Cricetulus griseus: one gene and its partner. The protein of the gene in region 1 purifies or fractionates together with the protein of each later gene. This does not show direct contact. Links are inferred from orthologs where the notes say so. Each region holds a gene or a part of one and is shown on either strand. Other genes may lie near its edges.

The links.
Region 2: the proteins of Pla2g4a (region 1) and S100a10 purify together in Homo sapiens (affinity purification with western blotting; 3 studies listed by BioGRID). This does not show direct contact. The link is inferred for Cricetulus griseus from reciprocal best matches to the Homo sapiens genes PLA2G4A and S100A10.

The regions. Positions count from the first base shown.
Region 1 is NC_048598.1:41,524,659-41,528,942, forward strand, and holds the start of Pla2g4a (cytosolic phospholipase A2), read left to right. Parts: upstream 1-1,263; 5' UTR 1,264-1,394; intron 1,395-4,284. UniProt on the Homo sapiens protein: Has primarily calcium-dependent phospholipase and lysophospholipase activities, with a major role in membrane lipid remodeling and biosynthesis of lipid mediators of the inflammatory response.
Region 2 is NW_023276806.1:62,480,464-62,484,772, forward strand, and holds the start of S100a10 (protein S100-A10), read right to left. Parts: upstream 3,023-4,309; 5' UTR 2,925-3,022; coding exon 2,922-2,924; intron 1,488-2,921; exon of another isoform or gene 1,365-1,487; intron 1,267-1,364; coding exon 1,114-1,266; intron 1-1,113. UniProt on the Homo sapiens protein: Because S100A10 induces the dimerization of ANXA2/p36, it may function as a regulator of protein phosphorylation in that the ANXA2 monomer is the preferred target (in vitro) of tyrosine-specific kinase.

The DNA of each region.
Region 1 (4,284 bases):
TAAGAACTGTAATGATATGAATTGCTAGGCATGGTGGCATGAACCTATGATCCCAGGGACATGGAGGCAGGCGAATTGGGAGTTCAAAGTCACCTTTTGCTAGACAGCTCTGTTTGAGTCTAGCCTAGGCTGCATGAGACCCCTGTCTCATAAAACAAAACAAATAAACTATGAAATGAGATTTAAAAGAATGCATTTGGCCTTGGTTTCTGCTTCAGTTCCTTGCTCCAGGTTTCTGCTTTGAAATCAGGTTTCTGACTTCTCTTCATGATGGACTGTGACTAGGATATGTGTCCAAATAAACCCTTTTCCCACAAGTTGCTTTTGGTCAGAAAGTTTTATCACAGTGCTACAAAGCAAACTAAGAGAAGAAGAAAAGAAAAAAAAGTACTTCATAAAAACATTGATGATATTAATTAGGAGATGAATAGAGGAGTTGTTGGGAGGAAGGGGCACAATGGTGACCATTGCTGATATGTCAGAGTACTACAAGCTTCCTGCCCAGAGTACATAGGATAATGGTGTTTCGTGGATTCTCATGTCATCTGAGATAGGGCTTTTGAGATATGGGTTCAGTATGTACCTTAGGCTGGCCTTGCAGTCACTGATTCCTCTCTTTCTACCTCCCAAGTGCTGGAATTACAGGTGTGAGCTACAAGCAAACTTGTACTATAAGGGATGTAATACCTGTACTTTCTTCACTTCCAACTTATCAAATACTTCAAATTGTATCGCAAACTTGGGATTCTGGCTCATTTGTAATTGTTTCTAAGTCTGAACACATGCTTTCTGTTCTTTGACATGTCTTTCCCGAAGTTTGGAGTTTGGAGAAAAAAGCTTGGGCAGGCTTGACTTTTAAAGTAGCCCAACACTGTTCAACTGCAAAATGTATCTATTTTAGATGAAGGTGTTTGTTTTGAACTTAGCTTTCTAAAGACTTTAAAAATGCTCAACATAGTTCACTATCTTTTCAACTCTGCTCTTAGTCTTTGGGAAAAAAGAGGAAGTAGTGACTGCTTAAGGACAAGCAGCAGTATCACACACACACACACACACACACACACACACACACACACACACACACACACACACACACACACACACACGAAATCTAGGATCAGTTAGGTCACACGTTTTTAAAGCATTTATCATGACTTTAAAGGCTCGATTCTGAAAACTAAACACGTACATTTAGGATGTTGCTCTCCACTAGAAGAGCTCGCCCTGGCTTGAATTCCACCTTAACATCCAGAGTCAGTGAGACCAGCCCACTCCTTAGCTCCGCCTACCAGGGAGAAAAGACTTTCTTGAAGTCGGAACTGTGAGGGGATCCCGCCTGACAGAAAACTAGAGGCACCGAGAAGCCTGAGGACTCTCATTTAACTTTGGGAACTGTAAGCATTTACTCTCCCTGCTTGCTCCCTCTTGCGCTCTCCCCAGCTATCCGTGGGCAGCTCTCGGGGTGGAAGGCAGCCACTCGTGATAAAACCTCACTGCTTTCACTCCTCTGCCTCTGAGAAGGATTCACCGAGTAGGCTTCAGTCCCCTTCTTACCGATGAGGACTCGCTTCCCTGCATCTCAGAGCAGGTTGAAATAAAGGGAGAAATTGTTTCCTTCAGCGGTTGCTGGGAAATTTAGTATTTATAGAGAAGTGAGTTGGCGCGTCTTTGTGTTCCACGTGATGCCACCCAATGATTGCTGAGGACTCCTGCACTTGAGTTGCATGTTCCTTGGCAGTGGAGATGATCAAGAGGTAGTTTGGTGACTCATTTAATTTTTAATTGTTAAAAAAAAGAGTTAAATCAGTGACTTCCTGGGTATCTAATGTGTTGCTGTGTTATGCGACAGGCAATACTGAAAAACTAACCGTGAACTACCAAGCCTTGCTGTTCCCTTAGTCTTTGGGCAACTTACCTGTCCTGATAAGGAGAACAGGTCAAAACTTTTCTTGAAAATACTTTCTCAAGTTGCACGCTTGAATTTTGAGCGTGACTACTGTTTTAGAATTGTGATGCAAAAGAAGGAAGGCAAAAAGGCATTGGATTTTGAAATAATAGCGACCAAATCTGTTTAGGTCTTGAAAACTTATGATGATTTCAGTCTTAAATATATTTTCATCACTTCAAAACCTAGGTTTAAAAAAGTGCCCGGCTTTTGGCTGATGGTGTAGACTGCTTTCAGTGAAGGGATTGGAGAGTGTTAGAGACATGCCCCTTAGAATGGTGATTCTAATGTTATATTTGGGATTCTAGTTTGGGAAAGGGGGGGCTGTATTTTGTTTTGTTTCCCTTTGTTAGGTACATTTGAAATTGCAGCCAAAGAGATTCACAGGGAATTTAATGAAATAACCTATAGAGTTTGAAATTATTTCCCAGGTATGCTGAGAACTTGCTAATGAAGTTGGGGTTTTGATTTTATTGAACTCAGGAAGAGTTGAATTTTAAATTAAGCAATAATTGTGTAATGCACAGAGAAGTATTTAATCTGCCTTTTCTCACAGTTTTACAAACTTTCTCTAAGGAACACATATTTTATGGGAAGAGAAACTTTCATTTTAACAGTGTAAGTTATTTTTATAGCATTTCATATGTATTTTAAATAGGAAAAATAAATAAAATAAAAATAAATAAATAAATAAATAAATAAATAAATATCTTAACCCCTAGTAAAGTTCATGCCCTGTTTTTAACACTTGTCTTTCTCATGCTGTCACTTAGAAAGCAGGGTCCTAAAGCTGATTGTTTGCACATTAATTAACATGTTCCAGGAATAAAAAAAAGAGGAAGACAGAACTTGCATGGTTCCTTTTCCTCCCCTCCTATTTACCACCACACCCCCACCCTACCCCATCATTGCTTGTAAATGATATTTCTTTTACTCCTTTTCTTTCTCATTGATCACTGACTCCTTCAAAACATTTTGAGAACTCTGGAATCCTCCTAGGATAATGTATGTGTGCTCTTCCAGTGCACACAGATCTGAAAGGAAGAAATTCACACATTTCCCAAAGGAATGACTGTTTCCTAGAACTTTGCATTTTCTGATAATTCATCAAAGTTAGGTAGCAAACTATTCCACTTGTAAGTATAGGATTACCTAGCTGTCAATATTCCAGTGTCCACACTGGCATTTGTTCACTAATGTTTAGGAATTCTAAACACCTTAGGGCCATGAGCAGCCCCTTGTCTAGAAAGCAAGTGACCTAGATTCTAGACTCAACCCCAATAATAATCATTCATGAATTATACCTGTCATTTTTTGCAACTTCTGATTAATCTTTTTACTTGACCATAATATACATAATGGAGAAACAGGCGCATTTTTTATTGGATCATGAAGTATATATGTGTATTCTACTTTTACTCTAACATTCTGAGTTATATTTTCCAGATTGATCACAAGTTTTAATATTATTACCTGTTACGAAGGTAATTCACACCCACTGTCAAAATCTTGCTAAATAATAGATTAATGCAAAGAACAAAATAAAAAAAAACACACTTATTCTCCTCTAAGGACTTACTTTTAAATGACTTTCATGCATTTATTTACTTTCTTAGTATTTATTGATTACCTAGCATACATTAGCACATAGAAAAAGAATCTGTGTATTTGTATTAATTTATGCTTTTACACGTTTGCCTTTATAATATATCTGTAGACTCACAAATCCGAGAGTTTGAATTTGGTGACATTTTCTGTGGCACTTTCCCTTGATTTGCACGATTCTATTAAAACACTTTTTATAATTGTGACTGTATATTCATCCACTTTTTCCCCCCCAAATACCATGAGTCTCTATTAGGAGTCGGATACCATTTAGCAGTTAAAGACTATGGCTTTTTCCTGTGAGCTATGTTCGGTCTATGGATATGTTGAATTGACCAATAATAAATTCTTGGATATTTAGATTGATTGCAATTTTCCACATGTAATATAATCTAGAACCATTACATTAATTTTTGTATACCTCATTATGGTTCAGTCTTAAAAGTTCATTTCTAGACTTTAACAAAAATTCCACAACTTTCCAGTAATGAGTTCATAAGTCACCTGTTTACTTAATCGCCTTATATTGTTATTTTTAGCTGTAAAATAGGAATAAAATAATTCAGTATGTTGAGGATCCTCAAAATATTTAACATGCCACAGACTACTCTTTTTCCATTTTGCTTTTGAGACACATGCCCATTCATGAGTAGCTTGAGGTATTGGAGTTTGCCTGTGATAACACTGGATGCTATGAAGAAGAATACAGAATAAGTGGAGAATCCAGTCATTAA
Region 2 (4,309 bases), on another chromosome or scaffold:
TTATTAGTGTAAGGGCCAGGACCTTAGATAACGTGATATTTATCAGGTAAATGTCAAGAGGCTAGATCCAGCCTTTTACCTTTACCTTTCAGAAACTAATGCATTATTGAACACCCAGTACAAGAACCATCCTTTCTTTCCAGGAAAAGAAGGGATCATACCACAGTCTGCTATTATATCAAGCTATGCTTTGTCTTGGGTGAGCATTAAATTCAACAACTGTCTCTTGAGGACCCACAAAGTCAAAAGACAACCATGCCTAGCTGACTATTGTCTTGAGTGGCATATCTGAGGAGTCCTAGTCTTCAGGGGTTGTTCAGTGTGATCAAAGGGAGGTAAAACCTAGACTATACTTCTAGGCTCCTAAGTTGACATTTTCATTGTAAAAATCAATTATCTGGAGTGACATTTTGCCCTGATTCAGCCAACAATTAACAAGATCTCTTTATGTGAGCATTGGTAGCACACACCTTTAATCCCAGCACTCGGGAGGCAGACACAGGAAGATCTCTGTGAGTTCGAGACCAGCCTGGTCTACAAGAGCTAGTTCCAGGACAGCCTCCAAAGCCACAGAGAAACCCTGTCTCAAAAAACAAAACAAACAAACAAACAAAAAAGATCTCTTTATGGGTTAGAGCTGGAAAAAGAAGAAAAGTCTTTCTATAAATAGGGATTTTAAGAAGATTTGAGTAGATTGAGTAGAGGGAAGTTTCCCAGTAGAGCCCTGGCTTTGCATGAATGGGGCTCCAGGGTCAACACAAAGCTCACACCCACACACAAAGGAGATTCAAGTTGTTCAAGTGGCATATGACAAGAATGTGAAACCACTGTCATTAGTGTTAGGGACCTGAGGTGTGGCACCTTGATCCATGACACCCTTGTGAAAAGTCTTTTCCCTCTTGTTGTTCCAGTGGGTGTGGATATTTTCATCTGCAATCAGAGCACAGGGGTGGGGCCTTTTCCACTTTGCTGCCCCTGTGCTATCCTAGCACTGTCTACTAAGTAAATGAATGAAACACTTCCAAGTGGTGAGCCTACAGGGATGGAGACAATGGAAGGACAAGGGAAGGGACCTTGGATTTTTATGTCTGGTCTGAGACTTTCCACACTTACTTCCAAAAACCCAGGGAACTCCCTTTCCATGAGCACTCTGAGGTCCTCCTTTGTTAAGTAGTCTTTATCGCCCGCAAATCTGTGAAATGTAAGCATCATGGTTTCCATGGCATGCTCCATCTGAGACGGCATCTTGAAGAGGTCTGTTGAAACCTGTTAATGGACACAAAGAAAGAGTTTGCCTTAACCTTTAAACCACATGCTGGAAGTCTGTAGAGGGTGGTCGGAAAGGATAAAATAGGTCTAATCACCTTTCCAATAAAATTCAATCAATCTCAGGTCCTATTTGGGGTCTTTTGCTGGTGGCAAGACACTTCAGGTGCTGGACCTCAGAATGTGGGATTTGCCTGACTGTCAGCTTCTTTTCTCGGTTCCTAATCAAGATAAGAAGGCCTAACTTTCTAGAAAAGCAAGACAAGAGCTGCTCCTTTACTGGAAAGCACTGGATGAAAGATGATGTTTCCATATTTCCCCTGGCACTGAAAATGTGACTCTTAGAAATGGCTGAACCCCAACAAGCCACGAGTCCAGCCTGGTTAATACAGAAACTTCATCCCGCCACCCATGCCACAGGAGCCTGAACCAATACAATTTCAGAGATTAGAAATGTACTTACAGATGGACATGTCTGCTGGAAATGTATACTCTCCTAACGATCTGAACTTGTTCTCTGGCAGTCAGTGCAGCTGCTCTGCCTGAGTAAGCTTCATACATTCATTTTCAAGTTCAGCAGGGAAGGAATAGGTAAGAGGGTACACAAGCTCCTTTGGGTGCTGAATATGTTTCTGGTAGGACTATACAGAGCGTTTTCCTCATAAATTGGGGGTACAGTGAGAGAGTAAGGGTCTTTCCTGATGAGGAGTTTAAAGAGAGGAAAGGAATTTTAGGTCACCGCATGCTGGTATAATGAACTGGGACAAATGTTTCATCAAGACCCCATGCCTAATGGAGCTCAGTGTCCACATATAGTTTTGAGTACAGAAGGAGGGAGAGATTGGCTCCTTCCCCCACTGAAGAGCAATGATGGGAATTCGGGGTGTGCTTTGGTCTGATTCCTGATGCTGACAGATGCTTGTTCAGTACAGATCCCCAAGTTCTGAAACCCACCCCGACACACACTGAAACCTAGAACCTCACTCACCTGTGCCCATCTCCTATCACTGAACTACATCCCCCAGCTCTCTTTTCACTTTCTATTTTGAGACAGTCTCACTAAGTTGCCTAGGATGGCTTTAACTCAAGATCCTCCTGTTTCTGCCTCGTGAGTAGCTGGTATTGCAGGTCTGAACCACTAGGCCTGGCTTCTAAGTATTATCTTTTACAGAGTCAAAGGTGTAGTGCTGAAGGCTAGCACTGAAAAGTTAGATTTAAAGGTTGTAACTTGTTCCTCTTCGTCTCCAAGAAGGTAGAAGAACCAGCTACAGAAAATGCCACTTCTGAGAACACTGTCAATCAGGATCCGGCATGATTCATCTGCATGACTTGGATAGCAACAAGTTTACAATTCAAGGTGTCTAATGCCATGAAATTCAGAAGAGCCACTCCTTTTTCCCTCTCGTCCTGTACTGCTCAGATCCGCCCCACCTCCCCACTCCTAGATATGGGTTTTTGGCGGTGGCAGAGAGCTTAGTGGAAGTCTGCCTTGCTTGGATTGATTTGAAAGTGCAGGAATTGAACTGAACTGAGTAAGCCACCTAAAGAAGGATGTGGGGTGCCACCTCAGCCCTTTAACAATCCAGGAAAGGAGCCAGACACCAGTGAAGTTTAAAATGTCTATGTCCTCATTCAGAGCCAGAGAGCTCTCCTACCATGTCTGAAGGCGAAGATTCCAGATGACATCCCAGATGTTAGAACTGCGTGGACACCCATTGTACTTTCCTCACAGACATCAGGAAAGTGTATTGCAGAGCTAGAGAAGGAAGAGGAATGGCCAGGATAGGGATCCCCCAAATAGAAAAACAGTCATCTTAGTACTCTCTGGAAATGCAAGTTGATAGCCAAGGAAGTCCTGGCCTCGCTTGAATGTCCTCTTCAGGAGGGTGAGGTCAGGTTGCCTTAGCCAAGAACTGGTTCTCAGGTCTGAGGTCAATCCACTCCTTCCTTCCTTACCCAGCTGGTTATGAAGTGGCAGAGTCCCTTCCTGAAGCCCGTGTCTGCCCTTTTGTCCTTCCTGCTTGCCTGCCCTAGCTGTTTTGTTCCACACAGGTGAATAGAGCAGCTAACTGGCTCTCTGCTTGTTCAAGAGAACTTCAATAAGAACACAAGAGATAGGGGCTGGCCAGAAAAGGAAAATAGTTGAATTTCACAGGGGATGCCCTTGGTTCCAGAACAAGGAATTGTGCTGGAGAAAGTTTTAAAGTAAGGCCAAGGATCCAGGTAAGGTAGGGGAAGTCCCAAGAACTATGAACCTAGCACTCAGAGGTGCAATGGGGCTGAGGCAGGAAAAAATAGCCTTCTAGGCCAGTCTAGGCTGTATAGACTCTGTCTCAAGAATCAAAATAACAAATCAAAAAAGGAAGACAAAGGAAAACGTGATAATGAGGCTCTGTTGGATGACTGAACCACTCAGTACTTCTCCGGTGAAGTGGTCCCAGCCTAGCCTCCACTGTTTGGGTGGGGCTGTTATTACAACGCTCACTACAGACAGTTCCATAATCATTTACTAGAGTGCAAGCTTTTCAGGAACCTGAATCTGGCACCTGCACTCCACCTAACACCCCACAAACTCCACTCCAGATGGGTTGGGTCTTCCCCTTCTAGTTGGGTAATACTTTGTCACAAGGGCCTTGGGACTTGGTCTGAGAAGTAGGGGGCTCTGTTCAGTGTTGCTGACACCCCATTCCATACCTGGTATACACAATCAGATACAGTTCGAGACCCAATCTGCCTTGGCCCTACAGCTGCCTTAGTCCAGAACCACATATGACTCTGCTTCAGTTGAGAGATGACTAAATACCATTTGCTAAATGGATGGCTCAAAGTAGCTGAGATACAGATAAGACTATCCTTAGACAGCTGATGGCTTTGCAGCTCAGAGTTCAGCAGTTAGAGGAGATGAGTTCTGGGAAGGGCAGGGAAAGGGGCCTCAACAGGGTTCACCTATGAATGGCATGGCAGGGTACAGAGAGCACATTCCAAACACAAAGGAAAAAAATGTGTGTCCTGCTAAGCAAGTCTGGTCTGACGGCCATGCTTC